2 linked regions of the Notamacropus eugenii genome follow. The protein of the gene in region 2 interacts with the protein of the main gene of each other region in a pairwise test. Links are inferred from orthologs where the notes say so. Each region holds a gene or a part of one and is shown on either strand. Other genes may lie near its edges.

Region 1 (10,929 bases), on a different chromosome or scaffold from region 2:
ATTATTCTACAGATTTAATGCTATACAAATCAAATTACTGAAGACATACTTAAAAATTCAACAAGAAAGAAAATTCCCTTCTTAGAAGATGAAAATATAATTTTTAAATGAGGGAATGCATGAAGCTATTAGATGTCAAGCTATTCTGCAAAACAGTAATTATAAAATATGTATTATAAATACACATTATATTATACATTATATTACTATTGCATTATAAAAGTATATATGTATAAAATATATGATATGTAAAACACATAAATATAAAATTATTAGTATACAAAATAGTAATTATAAAAAAACTTTATGCTATTGGTTAAAAAACAGAAAAGTGAGCCAGTGGAATATACAACTTAAGCATATTAGAAGAAGATCAGGACACAACTATGAATTGCTTTTCCTCCAGTCCAGTTGATATAATCACCAAAGATAAAAGGAAGTAGGCAGAAAAAATAAGATGTCAGTCTTACAGGACCAGATGTAAACATGTTTTCTATAAAACTGAAGGAATTAGAAAGCAGATAGCCAGATACCACCCTGAAGGTGCCCAGTCTCTCATGATCTTAGAAGCTAAGCAAGACTGAACCTAGTTAGTATCAATCAGTTAGCCCTTAAATATTTATTAAGCACTTACTATGTGCCAAGAACTGTGCTAAACACTAGTGTAGACACAAGTGGGAAACAGTATGGCTAGCTAGAGAATCTACCTGGGAGATACTGACTGTGTCACCCTGGGCAAATAATTATACCTTTCAGTGTTCTAGGCAACTTTTTAAGACTATGAATTGCAGAGAAGATGCTCACCTGTATTGGTAGAGGGTGGTCCTTATAGTAATGGAATCACAGGTGGTTTGTATTCCTATCAGAGCTATCAGCTAGCCAGGGATCAATCACACTCCCAGTGACCCTTTAAAAATTGAGACAAATGAGGCAACTAGGTGATGCAGTGCAGAGAGCATCAGTTCTGGTGTTAGAAGGACTTGAGTTCAGAAGGGACCTCAGACATTTACTAGGTGTGTCACTCTGGGCAATTCATTTAACCCTGATTACTCTAAAAAAATTGAGACACACTAAGAAGAGAATTGAAACAAGAGAAATCTCCAAGGAATATGATTTCTGGCAGGATAGAAAAGAATCAGTCATGAAGATGTTTCTTGCCTCAGAGAAAGGAGAAGGGATTTCTCCTATCTTCTTTGACAATAGTATCTTCTAGTGGATTTCTCTTACCCCATAGGAGATACTGCATCTATCAGGAAGGAGTGCTGAGAGTCAGTGCAGAAGACAGCTCTGAGATATGTGACTTCATTCATTTTAGAAGAGAGATAGTCCTGACCTTTGGGGGTTGAGTTTTGAAGAGGCACAGACTCTGACTGAGGTACTTTCTCAGCAAAGATGGTGTGCCCAGGGAAGCATCATGATGATATGAGAAAGAAAAGACCTTGAGGCCCAGACAGTCAACAAATAAAGAGAAGGCAGCTGTGGCACAGTGCACAAAGAACTGATAACAAAGACCTTGATTCAAGTCCTGTTTCTGACCCTGGGTAAGTCACAGCTTTTCAACATTCCAGGTAACTGTCTAATATGGTAACTATCAGAGTCAGGAAAGTTCTATACTAGTATGAGAGCTTTCTCAAAGGAGTTCCCTTGAACCAATGACATCACAGGTGCAGAAAAAAAATCAATCCAAGGATATAACCTAGAGTGGATACTAATTAATGTTATCTAAAATAACGAGTGAGTCAAAGAACAAATCATAGAAACCATAAATAATTACATTAGCTAAAATTATAAAAAATGAGAAATATGGAAAACAGTTTGGAGTTATGCCAGAAAAATTTCTTTCTTTTAGAGAATGGGTTCTTATCCCAGGGTCTGTGGATAGATACCCATGAATTTGGATGGGGAAAAATTACTTCTTTAGTTTACTAATCTTTGACTTCATTTTAAAAAAAACATTATGCCAAAAAGTGACCCATAGGCTTCAACAAATGGCCAAAGGAGGTTATTAGGGTAAGAATTCCTGCTTTAGAGAGTTTTTATGTATTGTTATATGTCTTGTGATACAACCAACTTTGTTTCTGAGTCCATTTTTTATGCTTATTCCCTGTCTGTTTTTTCTTAGGGTGTTTTCACTTTTTTTTCCAATTCATAACATATATCATGTTAGAGTTTTCCTGTTTGCTCATTTCTTTGACTGATCCTTTTCCTTTTCTGAAAAGTTGGCTTTTTCCTCTCTTTTTTGGGAGCTCCATTTTACTTTTCAGGGGCATTTCTTCATCTCTTCTTTTAGAGGTTATTGAGGCAATAAACTCCTTTATGATTCCTGACTGACTTTTTGTTGGAAGTGTTCCAAGTTGCAGATTTCCAACTTAAATTTGTAGCGAGTCAGAGTTTATCTTTTTAATATATTATAAATACATGCCAAGTAGCTAGTCATATTCAATCTAAAAGATAGTTGAGCAAAAAGGAAATTTGAATAATAGCCTTCAAAGGATTACAAAGCTAATTGAAAGGAGTCTTACAAATACAAGTCAAGGGAATGGTAACTAGGAACCAGAGTGTAAAAGATGAATTCAGGATTAGACTAGATAGAATCAGATGGAATTTAACAGGAACAAATAATTAAATCTTACACTAGTTCAAAAAGTCATCTTGATGTGTTACAAGATGGAGGGAGGTATAGAGAGAGAACAGTTCTTCATTTCAAAAAACATCTAGGGGTTTTAGAAAACTTTGGACTCAGTAATATCTCAACAGTGTGATATGCCAACCAAGAAAGGCAATTATATTTTTTAAGTGGCATTAGAGTACAGTAATTAAGAATTGATAGACTCACTGTATTCTGCTTTGGGAGGATCATTTGTATTGTGTTCTGTTCTGGCTGCCCCATTTTGAGGATTGATCAAAGGACCATCGATGATTAACTTGAGGTTAACGGGATAAAACCATTGTTTGAGATTTTGATTATGTGCTGAAAGACTGCAGCTCTCGGATAGGTTTGAACATGCCTAAAGAGTTATTAAGTCTCTCTATACTTCATGTCTTCATGGATTGAATAGATGTGAAGAACTTTGTTAGCATCTCCCTATGGAAGACCTGGGTATATGCAATGATACCTTATTGAGATAACTGAGGACATTTAGTTAATAGATATTGAGAGTAATCCACTTATACCTCATTGAGCATCAGTGATTGAGTTTCAGCGTTAGGAGTAATTTGATTGGCTCAGGCTACTGCAGATTAGAGTCTATTAAATCTAAATTTCCTAAAATTTTATTAAGGGATTTAACTTTTTTCTTTTTTAAAAATAGGTCTGAAAGTTGAGATCTTCCAGTCTTTTACTATTTATATCTCCCTGTAACTTACTTAGCCTTTCATTTAAATATATAGATGAAATGTTATTCAGTACATATATATTAAGTATTGAAATGAATTGTCTATGGTAACTTTAAGCATATATAGTTTCCCTGTTTATTTTTAGTCAAATCAATTTTTATGTTGTCCTGTCAGAGATTGCTTCAAATGAAGCATGAAATTTTGTTCCATTCCCTTATATTAACTCCTTATGAATCTTTATGATTCCAGTGTATCTCTTGAAAACAACATATTATTAGATTCTACTTTCTAATTCATTTTGATATCCTCTTCTGTTTTATGGATGAGTTCATTACATTCACATTCAAAGTTATGATAGTTGTATATTTCCTTCCATTCTATCATTTTATAATTTTTTCATTCTTTTCTTTCTGCCACCTTTTACAAAGAAGCGAGCAGTGAGGGAGAACGATTGTGCATAGACCAGTACTCTATGCTTTTGTGCTCCTGTCTCTTTTTCTCAGTCTGCTTGACCAGATCTCAATCATATCTCTTCTTTCTTTCCATTTAAACTCTTCTTGATATCTCTTCTTGAGGTTAGAGTTTGTTTTGCTTATAAATAATTCTTTCCAACAACTACTCTCTCACTCTCATTATCCTCACCCCACTCCTCCTCATTCCTTGTTTCCCTGTTGTGTTGAATGTATTTCTACACCAAACTCTTCCCTGGTGTATTACTTTTTCTGTTCCTTTACTTATTTTTCTTTTAAGATCATTAAAACACAACACCACTCCCGTATTTCCTTCATAGTTCTCACTTCTTTTCCAATACTTTCCTCTCACACACTTACTTTATAAGATCATTTTAAAACTCTAAAAAAAAACAAAAACAAAAAACCCCAACCTTTGTTTCATTTCTTCCAGCAATTCCAGTTGCCTTTGTGGCCAAACTATGTTTTTCTATGAGACCTTGCCTGTAGGCATTTTGGAGTAATTTTCCTCTTCCTGCTTTAGTTTGCTGTTCCTGGCATGATGCATCTTTTTTAGTGAGAGTCTTTTTTTTCTTTACTCATTCTTCTAACCTTACTTCCCAGATTGGAACTTTGTATTAAAACCAGTCTCTCCATAGTTTTGGAGGGAATGCTGGAACCGTGTTTGGCCATTTTTTTTTTGTTGTTCTCTGGGGTCCTACTACTTCTATCCTTAGATAATGAATGTATTCTTTAAGGCTCCCAGGGGGACATACAAATTTTCAGTGTGCTCTAAGTTATCTCATCTAGTGTAAAGTCTGGTCAGTACCCATCTGGTCTGAGCTTTACAAGTTCCTGATCATGGTTTGAGTCGGGGCAGCAAAATCATAGGTTTGCCTCTGGTTGGACCTCTAGTATACTGCTGCTACACCTAGGCTCCATCAGCTAGTTGCGTAACTGCAGATTCAAAGAGACAGCACTTCAGTGTCCTCTTTAGTCTGAACTCCCTGCCTTTTGATACTCAGCTTAAAGCCTTAGGCACCTGCTTCAGCTACTTTCAAGGCTATTGGAACAAATTGTTCTTGTCCATCCATTCCAGTGGGGGAAGACTTCACATGCTTGGAATAGACAAGCCCCTAACTCACTGACAGATTTGAGGCCTGTCAGTTACCCTCAACCTGGTTTAGCCTGTCTGCTGAGATGGTTTACTGGTTTACTGGAGTGTGGCTACACATGCTACAACTTCTTGGAGCCACAGGTGAGAACTGAGTGCCAGGTAGACACCAAAGGTGGATGAGCTGCCCTTGAAAAGGTCCACAAATTCCTTACACCAGGGGTGCTAATCCTCCTTGAAAACCTCATACACCCATGGGATGGGGAGCAGGTATGAATAAAAGATAAGTTTCAGCTGAAGACAAAATCTAAAAGCAGAGAGGCATTCCATAAATTATTGCCAGAAATCTACACATGCAGGGCGATTATCAGTGATCTACAGAGACTTCATGCTCTGCAAGGTCAGTAAGAGGTAGGCCTGTCAGAACAGTGATGAAATCAGCATTATATAAATTCTTACTATTAATGTTATTATTTTTATTGTTATTAACAGTGACCTTTCATTAATGTATAAGTTGTGAGTTGCCCTTCCATTCCAGAGCACCAGGCATGGCCCTATGTGTGACTCTCCACATGTGGTACCTTTGTTGTGTTCACTCTTTACATTAGTAGTGTCTATATCTAAAGAAGAGTAGATCCCAGATTTATAGGGAAATGTATTGCTTTTCTTACTTTACTGTTTCATAAAATACCTTTGATTTGAATTAAATGTGTCTTCTTGTTGACTAGTAAAGGTGAGACTATCAGGAAGAGCATTTTGTGAACTCCCATTTGGAGTGGCTTTGAAATCACCAAGTATCTTGAAATTGGTGTAACCTTGTCTGGTGGAATCCATTCTGAGAGTAGGGTTTGGTGGTGGTGCCCCCAGGCGTTACAGATAAAATCAACTCAGTGCAGTTTACTGTGGCCAGGTAGGTAAAGGTGTATGCAGATTCTGTTTTTAAAAAACAAACAACAGCTACAAAAAACTACCAAGGGACTTTAGGCTGCCCTCAGATGACACATTTGTAACAAGCCTGAATGTGAGAGCACAGGTTGCTGGGAAGGGGCGGGTCCCTCAAGTTCCAGGAAGGAGGGCTCAGTTAATAAGACCAAATGAGTTGGTTTCAGTTTCATACTAGCTGGAAAACTTTGTCCCTGCCGGTGTGACCACAGCAGAGAAGCCCAGATTCACCCACCTCTTGTCCCTACCTAAGAATTTTAAAGACCTTCTCTCATTCTATCCTAGGACGGTAAGCACGTTTTGTGATTTTAAGTGAACCCTGTTAAAATATTTGTCTAATTAATTCCTGCCAGTTACTAGGAACACAACCCCCATGCGGCGGCTGCTACTGCTGCCAAACACTTCTGGTCCTAATTCTGGGCTTCTGAAGCTGTGACAGATCTGTATTCTGTAGTGAATGATAGAAAAGGGGGCTTGGGGAGGAATGGAGTTTCCCCTAGAGCCCTTTTCACTGGATATCTATTTAAGCAGCCTAAAAAAAATACACCCATACTAATCTTAATCCCTCGTTCAATCATTGCACAGCCTACTTTATTTAGTACGTTCATTCATTTTCCTACCCTTTTAAAATTCAGTCCAATACTTTGAGTATATGGGGGGAGGGGAGGAGGCGATTAGGGGTAACCTCTATTTCCTACTATAGTTTGGAAACTGCCTTTTTTTTTGAAGACACTGATTCTCGCCTTGTAAACACCCTCCCCCCCCTCCAATATTTCCTCAATATTCCTTCCTTCTGTTTACAACTTGCTGGGGCCTGTCATGAATAGCAGCAGACTGAGAGCTTTAAAAGGGGAAAGCTTTAACCTACACTTAAAAAATTTTAGGAAATGAGCTAGCTGCTTTTTTGCATATTGAAGCCATAATACTTGTCCCTGGTCAGCAATTGATTAATGAGTGAGTCTAACAGCACTGCAGGGACTCTGGTTCTTAATGTCGTTTGGGAAATCCAAGGGAATGGCAATAAGTCTCAAGGAAAACATTTTCATCACATGATCATGATTAATCCTTAGGGCTTGTGTCCGTGCCTTACCTGACTTCATGAATGAGTTAAAACACAGAGAACAAGTTCATCCCTCCTCCCCAACCTCACATAGACTTTCTGCCTACACCCAGAAATAAAGGCAGGGGAAAACCCTGCAAACTTGCTTTACACACACACACACACACACACACACACACGCACGCACACACATGCACACACGCACACACGAAATTCTAAATGGGTAAGTGATGAAAGCAAGAAGTATTTCAGTCTGGGGTGAAGAGGAAGATGGGAGTTCTTTGAAGACTTTCAGTTTCAAATAGGTAGGACACCTGCAGAAAAGTGTGCTTGGGGGTGGGGGTAGGGCAGGAAAAGAGAGATTGGCAGATGACATTACACTGCCTGAGAATTCGCCAGTCCTGCAGATTTCAGTATGTGATACCGAACAGGTATAAAGTCAAATATTCAGACTTTTCCAGGAGGCAAACTTTACTGTATGCACAGATTAGTAATGAATCCCTACATCCAGTAGGGATGCTTTGCTTATGCATTCATTTGTGAAAAATGGTCCCCACAGCAATACAGAACTTCATGCCAGTGTAGTTCTTTCTTTCATGTGTTCCTCCCACAATGCCAGCACACTGTTTGGTGACTGCAGATGTCTTGAGTTCAGGCCTCACAGTTACCATTTGTACATTATTTCAGGGACAAGTCAAAGATGCAGAATAGTTACAGATCAGCAGTGAGTGACGGGGTGTTCTCATTGGGAAATGAGATAGTCCTAACTCCCTCTCCCCTAGACTTGAGAGTAAGACCACCATGTTTAATATTATTTACATGAAAAAAAAAAGTTTTCAGAGTTCCAGACAGTTGATTAATAAATCAACCTTTGTTCTGGAACACAACTTTATAAATTGATTATTCATGTACCTAAGTACCTTGCAGGCAAAACTTACAAGAAGTTCTGCAGGTATAACTTGAAGACAGATGCTATCTCACAACTTTAAGAGAACATGGAACCTTTCTGAAGTAAAAAATCTGTCTGGCCTCAATGGTAGAACCTGGAAATAATAAACCAGTCTGCCCTCTTGACATCTAGGCACCCTGGGACAAGTGTTTAGTTGTTTTTTCCTGTCTGTGAGCCCAGTGAGAGTTTTCTTGGCAGAGATACTGGACTGCTTTGCCATTCCCTTCTCTAGCTCATTTTACAGATGAGGAAACTGAGTTAAGCAGGTTTAAGTGACTTGCCTAAAAGTTCCATAGTTAGTAAGTATTTGAATCTGGATTTCAACTCAGGTCTTCTGGCACTAGTGCTCTATTTACTTCACCACCAACTTATGCCTTCTAACTACTTTTCTTCACCCCTAAGACCTTCCCTACTGTGCCACTTTTCCCTGGGTAGGACAGGTAGGGGAGGTACTGTGACAGAAATTAGTGTATATACAGGTAACTTGCCTTGAGTGCAAGGAATTTAGTGGATCTTGGGCTAGAAGGCACTCATCTTGTAGGTGAGTAGAAGCAGGCTTGAGAGTGAGACCATCATATTTAATATTGTCTACATGAGAAAAACACTTTTCAGAGTTCCAAACAGTTGACTTGTCAATCAATTCTTTGCATTCATTGCCGTTAGCAGATAATAAAAAAATTAATGCTACTTATGCCATTCAAGGAAAAGAGATACTTTATGCTCTGCTTTCTTTTTTATCTTAATTACTTTACTACACATTTCTTACTATCCTGCTGGCAATAAAAATTTTGAACCACAGACTTATTGTTCGGTTCCATATAGGCTACCATCTCTTCAACTTCATAGTGTCATACTCTTTAAAAAAAAAAAAAAACTTGTTAAAAAAAGATTTAAATTAAGTTCATTGGATTAGGGATCCCAGAGACCATATCATTTTACAAATAACTTGCCTAAGGTCACACAGATAGGATTTGAACCCAGGTCTTCTTAATTAGGAATGAGTGTTTTCTTCATTATACTTATGCTGCTGCCTAAAAAGCAACAAAACGAAACAAAACACAATTTTTAACAGAAGCATTGAAAGTTAACATGAGTATCATTTCATGTTCAATGATCCCAGAGTTCCTAGTCCATTGAATTGATGATATAGGTCATTCAGATATGTTGTATGACCTTGGGCAAAACAGATACTTCATCCCCTGGTCTGTTTCCTCATATGTAAAAAATGGGACATTTTTTGGGAACATGGCTAATAGAGAAATTTACTTTGAATGTTTATACATATTTGTAATGGGTTTTATATTTCTTGTCTTCTCAGTGAGTGGGAGTGGATTTGGAACTTCATTTTAAGTCTCAACTAAAATTCCTTCTTTCCTGGAATCCTTCTCCATTCCCTCTTTAATTTTGATGCCTTCCTTCTTTTGTTTCCCATTTATCTTGTGTGTAGTGTGCTTTACAAACATTTGCTTGTTGCGCCCCCCTTTAGATTGTAAGCTCCTTGAAGGCAGGGCCTATCTTTTGCCTCTTTTTGTATTTCCAGCACATAGTAGGTGCTTAATAAATATTGATTGATTGGAATTAAAAATAAAATAAAATTGTCTTTAAAAAAATAAGAAGTGGAATTAGATAATCTGTGATGTCTTTTCCAGTCCCAAATTCTGTGATTTTGACTTAGAAACTACTTTGTGGACGATGGAAAAGAATGTGGCACAAAAGATCAGAATCTGTTGCTCTTAGAAAACACAACTTTTGTTTTTTCACCATGTCTTTGGGGAACTGGAGAATGACTCAGAGCAATTCATCAAATCTGAGTTGCTGGGGGATGGTAACTAAGTGCATGTTGTCAGATGTGTCAGAGCATGCTCTATTTGGACCTCTCCCAGTGACAGAGTGGTTGTATGTGGTTTGTTTGGGTGACTGGTTGTTAGGGAGATAAAATTTCCTCCTTACTGTCAGATCTGTCACCAGGCGAGTCATTACAGTGCTCCTTTCAAAGTCACCAAATGAAAGCTCTTTTTAGGTTTTTGTCTTAACAAGTGGAACTCAGGGGTTCTTCTCACATGTGGGGACTCCCTTAGCTCCTTACATCATCTGGGTGAGCATCCACCCCAGCTAGATCTCCACAAACCCAATGGACATATTGATACTCATGAGCCAACCAGCTAATTTAAAAGAAAAATGAGGTTTGAGGCTCAAATTCTTCAAACTGATCAACTGTAGTATTAGACTTCTCTGGGCTAATTGGCCATTTCATTTTGGCCGTACAGACATAGTCTACATTTAATGGTTTAATCCTTCATGTGCATTTTTTTTTTTTTTAGGGATATGATATTTCCCTGTAACTTTACTTAATATTGATGCTGTATTTATTGGTATGTGTACTTGGCTTATTATTAGAATAAAATCCTTGTGAGTAATAATAATATGATGATGATAACTTAGCATTCATATGTACTTTGAGGTTTGCAATACATATACACACATATATACATACATACATTTAGCGTGGGTGTATGTGTGTATACATGTGTTGTGTGTGTTTTTTATTTAGTCTTCACAGCAACCTTGTTAGGTAAGTACTCTTATTATCCCCATTTTTATAGATGGGGAAACAGGCAAAAAGAGGTCAAGTGATTTATCCAGGGTTACACAACTAAGTCTATGAGGCAGAATTTGAATTCAGATCTTCCTAACTCCAAGTCTAGTGTTATATCCGTTATGTCATCTACTTCCCTCAGAGTAAGGATTGTTTCATTCATTTTATTTGTGTCTCTGGCACTTAACAAAATGCTTGACAAGTTGGTGGATACTTAAATAATACTTGTAGATTGATCGTTGATTGACCAAATGTCCCCAAAAGATTAAGCATGTAATTTTATAACTTTCTTGTTCTGCAGTACTATCCATGCAATATCTAAGCTGTGTACTTGATCTTGTGGAGTTTTCCAAAATTTGGGAGGTAGCAGAATTCTTAGGCAATATTATTCCTTGTTTGGGAACTCAGCCTCTGTTTTAATATTGGGTTGTAATGTGGAAATGACAGAACAGACAGAAGCAAACAGGTTTGTTGTGATTTCAC
Region 2 (10,546 bases):
ATACTCCTAGAAAAAGTCATATATATTCAATACTTTCACTTCCTTCCCACCTAGTTTCCCAACTACTTACATAACACTTGACAAAATTTGCTCTCTTCAAGGTTACCAATGAGCTTAGAAAAAAAGTTCTACTGATGTTTTTTCATTTCCCAGTAATCCCCACCCTACACAACAGAACTCCCTCTTGTAACAAAGTACAGTTAAGCAAAACAAATCTACACATTGGCCAAGTTTGAAACAGTATGCCTCCTTCTATACTCCTAATCTGTCTACCATCTCTCTACAGGAGAAGAAAGAGGTAAGTTTCATTATCAATTCTATGGAATCAAAAATTGCCAAATCCAATGTTCCTCTTCTCAGTCCTCATTCTCCTTGACCTCTACTGTTTTTGACACTGTTAACCAGCTCCTCCTCCAGCATACCATCCATCCCCAGAACTTCTCTCTCCCCTCTTTGACCTCTCCTTCTTAGTTTCCTTTGCTAGTTAATTATCTCCTGACCCCAAGACTCTACACAGAGCCGTCTTCTCTGCTCTCTATACTCTCTCCCTTAGTAAATCCATTACTTCCTAAGAGTTCAATCATCTCTGTACAACTGATTCCTAAATCTATATAACCATCAAACCTAATCTCTCTGGTGAACATCTTTTGAATGTCATACTGACATCTTAGACTCAATATGTCTAAAACATAACATGCCCTACCTAACAGGAAATCTCTTCCCTCTGACAAATTCCATTTCTATTCAGGGCACTGTCCTCCCAGACACCCAGTTTTATGACCATGGTCTCATCCTTTCCTCATTCTCATTCCTCTCATTCAATCAGTTGATACCTCAACAGTACCTCTCTTATCTACTCCCTTATCTTCACTCATACAGCCACCAAACTAGTTCAAGCCCTCTGATAAGGACTATTGTAGCATACTAATTGGTGTCCCTTCCTCCAATCTTTACTCTCTTCCATCCAATCTTCACACAACTGTCAAAATAATCTAAGGCATAATTCTGACCATGTCATTCTCCTGCTCAAAAACACTCCTCCCTGCCTTCAAAATAAAAATTTCTCAGCCTGGCATTTAAGCCTTACTACAACCTTTCTCCAAATTACTTTTTCATACTTTCAACATTACTCCTCTTCACAACCTATGTTTTAGCCAAATTAGACTTCCCTGAACTTGATGTTCCATTTTCTGACCAGGTATATTGTAAAAAACATATTCCACTCTTTGGAAAGTCACTCCCTTATCTCCACTTCTCAGAATCTTTGTCTTCCTTCAAGATTTATCTCAGATGGCACCTCATCAGTAAAATATTCCCTGACTCCCCCAGCTGTTTATGCCTTTCCCTTATCAAATTATCTTGTATCTTCCTCCAGAAGAAGGTAAGCTCCATGAAGGTAAGGGCTGTTTTTTTAAAATATCTGATACTAAGAATAATCCCTTTCATGTTGCTGGCATTAATAAATATTTAATTGAAAAAGATTTTTCTGAAATAGATAGTAGGATATTGCCAATGATGACTTGCACACAAAAATGTCATGAAAGATTATCAAGTAAATGTATGATTTAGAAGGAATAAAGCTACTAATGTTGGGAGAGTGAGAAATAACGGACACTATGCACTATAATGATATTCATGAAATATTAAAAGATCTAGAAAAAAGCTTTCATTACATTAGGCAGACCCTCAAAAGAACACCTGTGGAAGACATGGATGAGGATCTTTAAAAGAAGCCATTAGAAAGAAAAGATGGGCAAGTCATGTCAAGAGAGCAAGGGATGGATGACTGATGTACGGCATTGGTATCCATGAATCAACAGGAGATTTAAGGGAAAGCCCCTAAACATTTCATGGAACTCCTATAGAAGATTTGTGGGATGACATGGATAAGAGTTACACATAATGAGAGGGCATTAACAGTTATGATCTGCATTCTGGAGGGTTACCCGCATCAAGCAGAATACAAATTCACTGAAGTATTAAAGTACAGGAAAGAATTATTTAGGAAAAGAAGGTATGCAATCTGCACTGGTGAAGGGAATACCAACATAAATGAGATCTATTGATCTATCCAGCTATCAAAATGAGTAAATTTTTAAGTTTTGGAGTTTTCATACAGTTTTCTAAAATTTCATCCCTTCTTCCTCTGAAACAGCCTTTAACAGTGGAACCCATTTAACTTAGAAAACTCCATTTCCCATCATTCTTATCAGGCTAATCCAATTACTGGTTCCCATACAAGCCAAGTTCACATGTGTTTTCATTTATTCAAACTGTTGTTCCTGTATGGCTTACCTTCCCATCTCTACCAATCTAAATTCCATTTCTCACCCAAAGCTCAGTTGAGAGCCCAATGTTTTTATACTAGCTAAATCTTTTAATTTCCTGAATTCCTAGAGTGCATATCTGAACTACACAAACATCTGATAATATATTACTAATTATTAATACATATTATTTGCTTAAAAATTTTTGATATGGTAAATACCTAAAGAATAAGGACTATACCCTGTATTTTTTTTTTGTCCTTCACGTTATAGTATATAAAATTGAACTTAGCATATAACAGTTTAATTACACGGCCCAACAAACTTGGTTTGAGTCTAGAAGCTAACCCTAAAAAAGCCAGAAAAATTTTTCTATATTTAAGCTGAAGTTGGAATAGGTTTGGTGGTAGCCAAGATTAGGGCCCAAGCTGGTCCCTACTGTTGCCTGCCCTATATCATGTTATTGGAAATTTTGAGCTTCTTTTCAAGTAACTGTGATAATATAGTGTGAGCCTGTGTGAGCTAGAACAATATGAGCTAAAAGAACACTGAATAATATCCTAGTTTTAGGAATGATAGTCCTGAAAAGACTAAGGTTTATGGCAGCTAGGGGTGCAATGGATAGAGCATTGGGCTTGGAGTCAAGATGACTCATCTTCCTGAGTTCAAATTCAACCTCACTAGCTGTGTGACACTTAACATGGCATGTCACTTAACCCTGTTTGCCTCAATCCTCATCTGTAAAATAAAGTGGAGAAGAAAATGACAAACCACTCCAGGATCTTTGCCAAGAAAACTTCAAGTGGGGTCAGGAAGAGTCAGACAGAACTGAAAACAAACCAACCCCCCCAAAAAATAGTGTTACCATTCAGGATTTCTTAACCCTTCCCTTAATAAATGCTTGTTGACTTGACCTTTATGACTTATAATGCGTCCTTTAAATACAAAAAAGAGGAGTATTTTTTCAAGTTAAAGTTCCAATTCAAGTTCTGGAAGTACAGTGACAGTAAATAAAGTATGACTACATTTTAACTTATTTCAATTCCAAATAAGTGTTATTTGTAAACTTTCTGCCCACTTATTCAACAGGTACAACTTTATACTTGCGCATATTTTGTCGTACTTACACAATGAAAAACAAAAAACAAAAAGCTCCCCAAAATAAATTTAATGAGACTATTTACATTTGTCAAAATATGATAAAGGAAAATAGTTATGTTTACTTCTTTCATACAAGATTTATGTGTATAATAATAATAAAACTTCCTAAGTCTACAATTTACATAATGATCAGAATACTCATATTTGTTTTTAAAAAGCGATACTAACTTTTTAAGAATCTTACAGCTTCTTCAAGTTCTATTCTTTTAGAATGAGACTCCAAGGATCTACAAATTATTTTTTCTGGGTTTACCGAACTGATATTTATTTCCCACGATCACATCCTTTGTTGCTGTTTAGTCGATTTTCAGTCGTGTTCGACTCTTCGTGAGCCCTTATCCTTTACCTACTGTTAAATATTAGAATCCTCAATAGTACATTTGCTTTGTGAATCATAAATAGGGCAACTGAAGCTAACAAGCACATTCCTCATGTAATTTTCCCTGCTTTAAAAAAGCTCTAAATTAGGGATTTTTTTCCATCATCCTCTATAAAGTGAGAGAAGATGAAAAGAAAATAATGACAAGTTGTAAAGCCGCGGACTGGAGCCAACAGTAGTGTTGACAGGGGTGTACAAAGACATTTGTTTCAGTAACCACCGAAGATCTGCTCACGTCACTCTTATCTGGAAAAACTCGGACGTTCCTTCCCTTGCTAAAGGGAGGCCTCCCGCGCTCCACCTCCCCAAGCTGCCTACCGGGGGCTCTCCGACGTAGGCCACTCTCCCTCTTCCCGGGGCCCACAACATCTAGGTTGTCTCCCTTTCCACCCCCTTGGCTCACCCCATTCAATGCCCCCCCAAGAGAGGGAACCCCACTTCCCAGGGCCGTTGAGGGTCCTCAAAGAAAGTTAGGTTGGCTACGGGAAATAGAATGGAAAAATCCCTACGCCGCCGGGGGTGCTCACTTACGCCTGCCTCCGAGCGATAAGTCGATGCATGGGAGTCGCCATGTCAGCGAGAACCGGGGACCGCCGCGATGCATCCTGGGAAGTTCCCCCTAGGTGGAACTAGAACTCATTAGACGTCATAGAGACGGGACTAGCTGTGGCTAGAGGGGCAGCCAGGCCTCGCATTGGTGGACGCAGTCTTCCTCCGGGGCCTGGGAGGACTTGAAGTAGACACCGGGGATATTATCCGCCTGAGCCCTCCTTGGGGAGACAGACGGCCAACCCTGGCTTCCAGACCCAGAATCCTGGGCATCGTTGCCGTGCTTTGGGGGAAATGAAAACTGGGAAGACACTTAATGGGTTCTGGAAGTGGAAACTCAAACCTGTCAGTTTGGTCCCAGAAGGGAGGGGAAGGGGGCAGAGCTCCTGGGACAAGGGGCGTGTCCTATCTTCTTTCCCTCCCCTCAGGGGGCGTGTCCTATATGTCCCTCCCTCTGCTCTATTCACTCCATTGTCACTGTCCATCCTCCACCCCTGGCCGGTCTTCTCTCCCTCCCTCCTCTGTAGGGGCGTGTCCCGGGCTTCCGAGAGTGATGGGGAGTTCCACACAAATCCAAAAACCGCGTAATTGGTAGCAAAAGGGAGGAGCTCAATCCTACTTAACCTTCCCTTCTCTCTGATCCCTCTTCTCTGCCTTCCTAGACCGAGGCTACGTACCGACAATCTAGTGGTGGGGCAGTTGGGCGTCCAGTGTTGCCTTCTTCCTCTTCTCTACCCTCTTTCTATTTCTCCTCCTCCCTCCCATGGGGTGTATCTTGTAACCACTGCTCCTCCCTTATTGGGGTGTGTTGCCCTCTCCACCCTCCACACTCCTAGCGTTCCAACTTATCCTATTATTAGTGTAAGTTATTAAACTCCAGACAGAATGGGCATGTCCCCACATATCTCTTCCCCTACTCCCCTCCCCATGACTTGAACCGAAAATTGTAATTCTTTCCAGTGTCTGGGGTAAAAAGAAAGAGGAAAGCATCCCAGGATGTTTTTTAAGTTTTTCACATGCACCATCATGGCCTCTAATCCAACCTTAAATCAAACGTATTAGCCCAGGGATCCTAAATTCATCCTGGAGAATAATTTCTCCTACCTAAATCCATTTGACTGAAAGTCAATACATCTAGAGGCAAGGTTAGAGGATAGAGTTTAATTAGCATTAGCTGATGGGTAGTTGCCAAGTGACCAACAACTCCTAAGAATAGAGGAAGATACACACATTTTTTTTACACACAACTTTACACAGTTTTACACAACTTTAGGGCAGGTAGCAAAAGGAGTCTATTAGGTGAGGCTGCTCAGTCACTTTCCCTATTTCTGAGGTTGAGTAATAGGGACAGGAAGTTAGGTAATTTGTTTCTGGGTGTGATGGGGTATAGACTCTGGGAACCCCCTTGAATTCTCCTTGAATCTTTCCACTTGATCTGGCTTTTCATGCCCAAATCTGTTACCCTTAACATAGGCTAGCCCTCCATTGTCTGTTACCTCCAGATTGTCTCTGGCTACCTCCCAGCCTTGATCCTATCAAAATCCCATTCTCTTGATTCTGACCTCTAGTCACCCCAGTTCTATCAAGCTCCTCCTTAGACTCTTCTTCAAAACCCTCCCTAAATCCTTACTCTAGTTCCCCCAGACTACTTGGACAACCCTAGATTCCACTCACAATCTTTTTGTATATAAGATGCATTTTGCCTCCATGAAGGCGCTCATATTCAATCTAACCCAGATTCTGTCAGACTTGCTTATCAATACAAGCGTCACAAATACTCAGATTCCTTAAATCTACCCAATATGGCAGATATTAAACTTAGTTTTTCTTTGGCTGAAAGAAGGCTTGAGTTGAACTCATTTGGACAGGACCTGGCATGTCGGTATTTGGGGATCCTGAGCATCCATAAACCTCAACAGGTATAGGTAATGTCTTAATTTTTCAGTAACCTTGGTGTAGCCCCAAATCAGATTTGTTTTAGGTAGGGGTGTTTTCCTGTAGTTAATCTCATCAGATCATCGGAAAATCTAGATGAGACTGAAGATCTATGGTTAGTGAAGTCTTTCCTTTGAGAAGAAATCAGAATGAGGGTCTGTCTTTATACAACTCTTCAGAGTATGTTCTTTGAACTCTAAGGGTATTTCTGGGGAGATATTTTCCCAATACAGCACATAGGTTTTGTACATTTCCTCTACATTAGAAAGCATTTATTAAGCCTTGCTATGCGTCAAGCACAAGGTTAAGTGCTGGTATTCAGAGACAAAAGCAAGCTGTCCCAGAATTCAAATAATTTACATTCTAAGGGGAGATAAGTTATACACATGCAGGCATGTACAGAATACATCTATATGTATAGACAAACATAAACAGTGGTAAGTGAATTTTGATATGGTTTCACTTTTTGACAGTACTAGTAATGCTTGTATTCTTTCTCTGATACCAGACTGACTCGGAATATATGACCTTGACCAGATGAAACTAGATTGATCTGGTTTCCAAAACCTTTACTTATTTCTTTATCAGTTGACTGTTGGATACACTAGTGTTTCATTGTTCTTTTTTTTGCTGTGTTTTTAATTCTGTGGTTTTAAAGAATAGATATTACTCCAAGGAAATGTACAAAAGAGTAACTCTTAGAAAGAAAGTTCGTTTCCATGACCACTGGAAACATTGTAGCGGCTATTGGGGAATCAAATGTTTCAAAGATCATCAGAGCTTACAATGAAACAGAAAAGGAAAGTACAGTTGAAAATGAAAAGCAATCTCAATAACTGACAAACTTGTTGCAAAACTGTGTAATTAATCCTTTTTAAAACAAGCAAAGATTTCAAAGGGACCTGTAGATTCTTTTACAGAGAAACAATAGAGTTTCTTTACCTTTGTTTGGCTATTTTTTGTTTTGCTTTTTATCCTGGACTTCTTTGACTTCTTTTGATGAAGCCTGTGGACTCCTGGAATAGTTTTTTTTTTAAATTTACAATCCAAGGAAATGCTATTTTTCAGTTAGAGGTTGGTGAAAATAAAAACATAATTTTTCCCCCATTTGCTTCTTCAACATTGTCACTTGCTATTTCTTTTTAGAAAATTGTAAGTTCACATGTATACCCTTTAACCCAGCAATACCACTATTAGATCCGTATCCCAAAGAGATCAAAAGAAAAGGAAAAGGAACTAAATGTACAAAAATATTTGTAGCAGCTCTTTCAGTGGTGGCAAAGAATTGGAAATTGAGGGGATGCTCATCAATGGGGGAATGGCTGAACAAGTTGTGGCATAGTTTTGCGATGGAATATTATTGTGCTATAAGAAATGACAAGCAGGATATTTTTAGAAAAAAATCTGGGAAAACTTAAACGAGATAATGAAAAATGAACAAAACCAGGAGAACAAGCTACACAGTAACAGCAACATTGTACAATGAAGAACTGTGAATGACTTGGCTACTCTGAGCAAGACAATGATCCAAGACTATTTGGAAGGACTTATGATGAAAAATGATATACACCTCCAGAGGAAGAACTAATGGAGTCTGAATGTGGATTGAAGCATCATATTTTCACTTTATTTTTTCTTGCCTTTTTTTTTTTGCAACATGGCTAATATGGAAATAGGTTTTACATGATTTCACATGTATAGTTGATACCACATTTCTTGCCTTTTTAATGGGGAAAGAGGTGGCAGAGAGGGAGAGAATTTGGAACTCAAAATTTTTTTAAATGAGCATTAAAAATAAAATTAAAAAATGGCTAAAAGAGAATTGTAAATTTAGTAAATATTAAGAAACAGTAACATTCAAATAATCAAATGACTTTAAAATGATTTACATGAAGGCATCTAAAGTTTGTCTAGAAAGTTTACGATATAATGACAATATCATCCTATTATTCCCGTGAACCTTTTCTTTTTCTCCAGGTTTGTTGCTTTTACATAGCTATAGTCAGTATATATACATTGGTTCTAATTTTTTCATTCTGTATTTCTTATAAGAACAGCAATACTTGGGACTCCTCCCAAAGTATCTCTCCTCTCAAGGTTCTAGGGTAGAAGCTGGGGATGTCTTTCTCTAATGCCATTGGCTTAAGCCTCATTCTTGTGTATTTCCAAGCTGAACATTCCCATTCAACAAAAGTGGCAGCTGAAGGCAAGATATCTACTAGAAAACTTTGGTGAACTATTTGTTGCTAACTTGGAGGGAAAGCTGAACCAACATATTGCTGGTAACAGTGGAGCAGAAAAGGAGTGAACAGCTTTCAGAGATTTGGTGTACAGAATCAGTTTTACTCATCTGGGCCAGAACACTCATAAACATCAAGAACGGTTTGATGAAAATGATAGAGAAATTCAGAAACTGCTAAATAAAAAACATGAACTCCACAGGGTTTACCAGTTTGTGTTAATTTTGGCCTACCAATTAACACCAAGAAAACCAAGGTTCCCCACCAGCCTGCACCACACCATCTATACATGGAACCATCAGTTATAGCAAATGGAGAAATTTTAAATGCTGTGAATAAGTTTACTTACCTTGGCATTTTCAGGGATAGGTGATGAGGTTGACACATGCACTGCCAGAGCTAGCTCGGTGTATGGGAGGCTCTGAAGGCAAGGGTGATGAAAAGAGGTCTTAGACTGCCTACCAAACTGAAGGTCTACAGAGCTGTTATGCTGACCCCATTGCTGTATGCCTGTGAAACCTGGACAATCTATCAGCACCATGCCAGGAAATTGAATCCCTTCCATTTAAATAGTCTTAGGAGGATTCTGAAGATCATCTCGCAAGATAAAGTACAGAACACTGAGGTCTTTTCTTGAGCTGAACTACTAAGCATTCAAACTCTGCTACAGAGAGCACAATTCTTGTGGGCTGACCATGTTGTTTAAATGTCAAACTTATGTTTTTGCAGAGAACCCACACAAGGCAAATGCTCACATGGTGGACAGAAGAAGCAACACAAGGACCCTTTAAAGATCTCTCTGAAGAATTTTGGAATTGATTGTGAGCCATGGGAGACACAGGCACATGACTACCTACCATAGTATGCCCACACCAAAGAAGGCACTGTTCTCTATGATCAAAGCAAAATTGCAATAGTTCAAAAGAAATAAGATGCACAAATGTAAAGACATCTTCACTCCAGATGTTCATACGGGCTATTTGTACTCAACTTGGGGTAGAGTCTTCTGAGCTCATATTGGTCTGATTGGCCACAGTTGGACACACTGTACCTTGACTTCTATATAGTAACGTCATTTTGATCCTCTTCAAGAACGAAGGGCAACCAACCAACAAAGTGGCCACAAGGAGTGACAAGGTCAATCTTATGCTTGGCTGGTGGATGGCAAAGGGTAACTCAGGGAAAGATGAACAAACTCAAAGTGTCAGTGCCTATCCTTACTGAATATTCTTCTCTTTGCTAAGACTAAATAAATCTTTTTGTTAACTGTTGACTGATTTATCAGTCTCATTTTGTTCTAGTAGCAAAGCTAAATTACAAGGGGACTGGAATGAGTCAGGCCAAGCCCAGAAAATGTGAGTGGATATGAATGATTTCACGACTCTTACAGCATAATTCCTTACTGTATTATTTTCCAAAAGGATTGCAACAATTCCTAGCTCCACAGATTGCATAATATTATGCCTACTAAGATAAAATCAGTGAAGTGCTTAGCACAATGCCTAGCACATAGTAAGCACTTAGTATTTGTTCCCTTCCCTTTCTACTTTGAATTTTAGAGTTTAGAAATATTCTGATCAGTTTAAGGGAGATAAAGGACATCTCAGAGTTGTTTTAATTTTGTATCTCTCTGGTTATTTGAATAACCAGAATTAGTTTGAATAATTTCATATATATATATTCTTCTTTAGAATACTGATTGATTATATCTTTTGACCATTCTCATATTGAAGAATGGCTCTTACTCTTAAAGATTTGTGTCAGTTCCTTACTGGGAACCAAACATATCAGAAATATGTCTTGCAAAGGTTTTTATTTCCCAGTCTCTGTTGGTTTCCATTTCATTCTGGACATCTTGCTTTTTGTCATATAAAACTTTTATTTCCATATAATACATTCCATTTATTTTGTTTCTTAAAATTTCTTTCATTTATTGAATGACTAAGAATTATTAATGCTCTCATCAATGATGCCCTTGAAGCAAATGCATATTATTATTATATGTATAAATGGGA

Evidence for each region.
Region 1: the proteins of ZCCHC10 (region 2) and DZIP3 interact in binary tests that used the Homo sapiens proteins (3 or more experiments, as listed by UniProt). The link is inferred for Notamacropus eugenii from reciprocal best matches to the Homo sapiens genes ZCCHC10 and DZIP3.

Annotation. Positions count from the first base shown.
Region 1 is NC_092876.1:360,261,326-360,272,254, reverse strand, and holds the start of DZIP3 (E3 ubiquitin-protein ligase DZIP3), read left to right. Parts: upstream 1-5,991; 5' UTR 5,992-6,130; intron 6,131-10,929. UniProt on the Homo sapiens protein: E3 Ubiquitin ligase proteins mediate ubiquitination and subsequent proteasomal degradation of target proteins.
Region 2 is NC_092872.1:345,602,841-345,613,386, forward strand, and holds the start of ZCCHC10 (zinc finger CCHC domain-containing protein 10), read right to left. Parts: upstream 5,104-10,546; 5' UTR 5,034-5,103; intron 4,427-5,033; 5' UTR 4,380-4,426; coding exon 4,339-4,379; intron 1-4,338.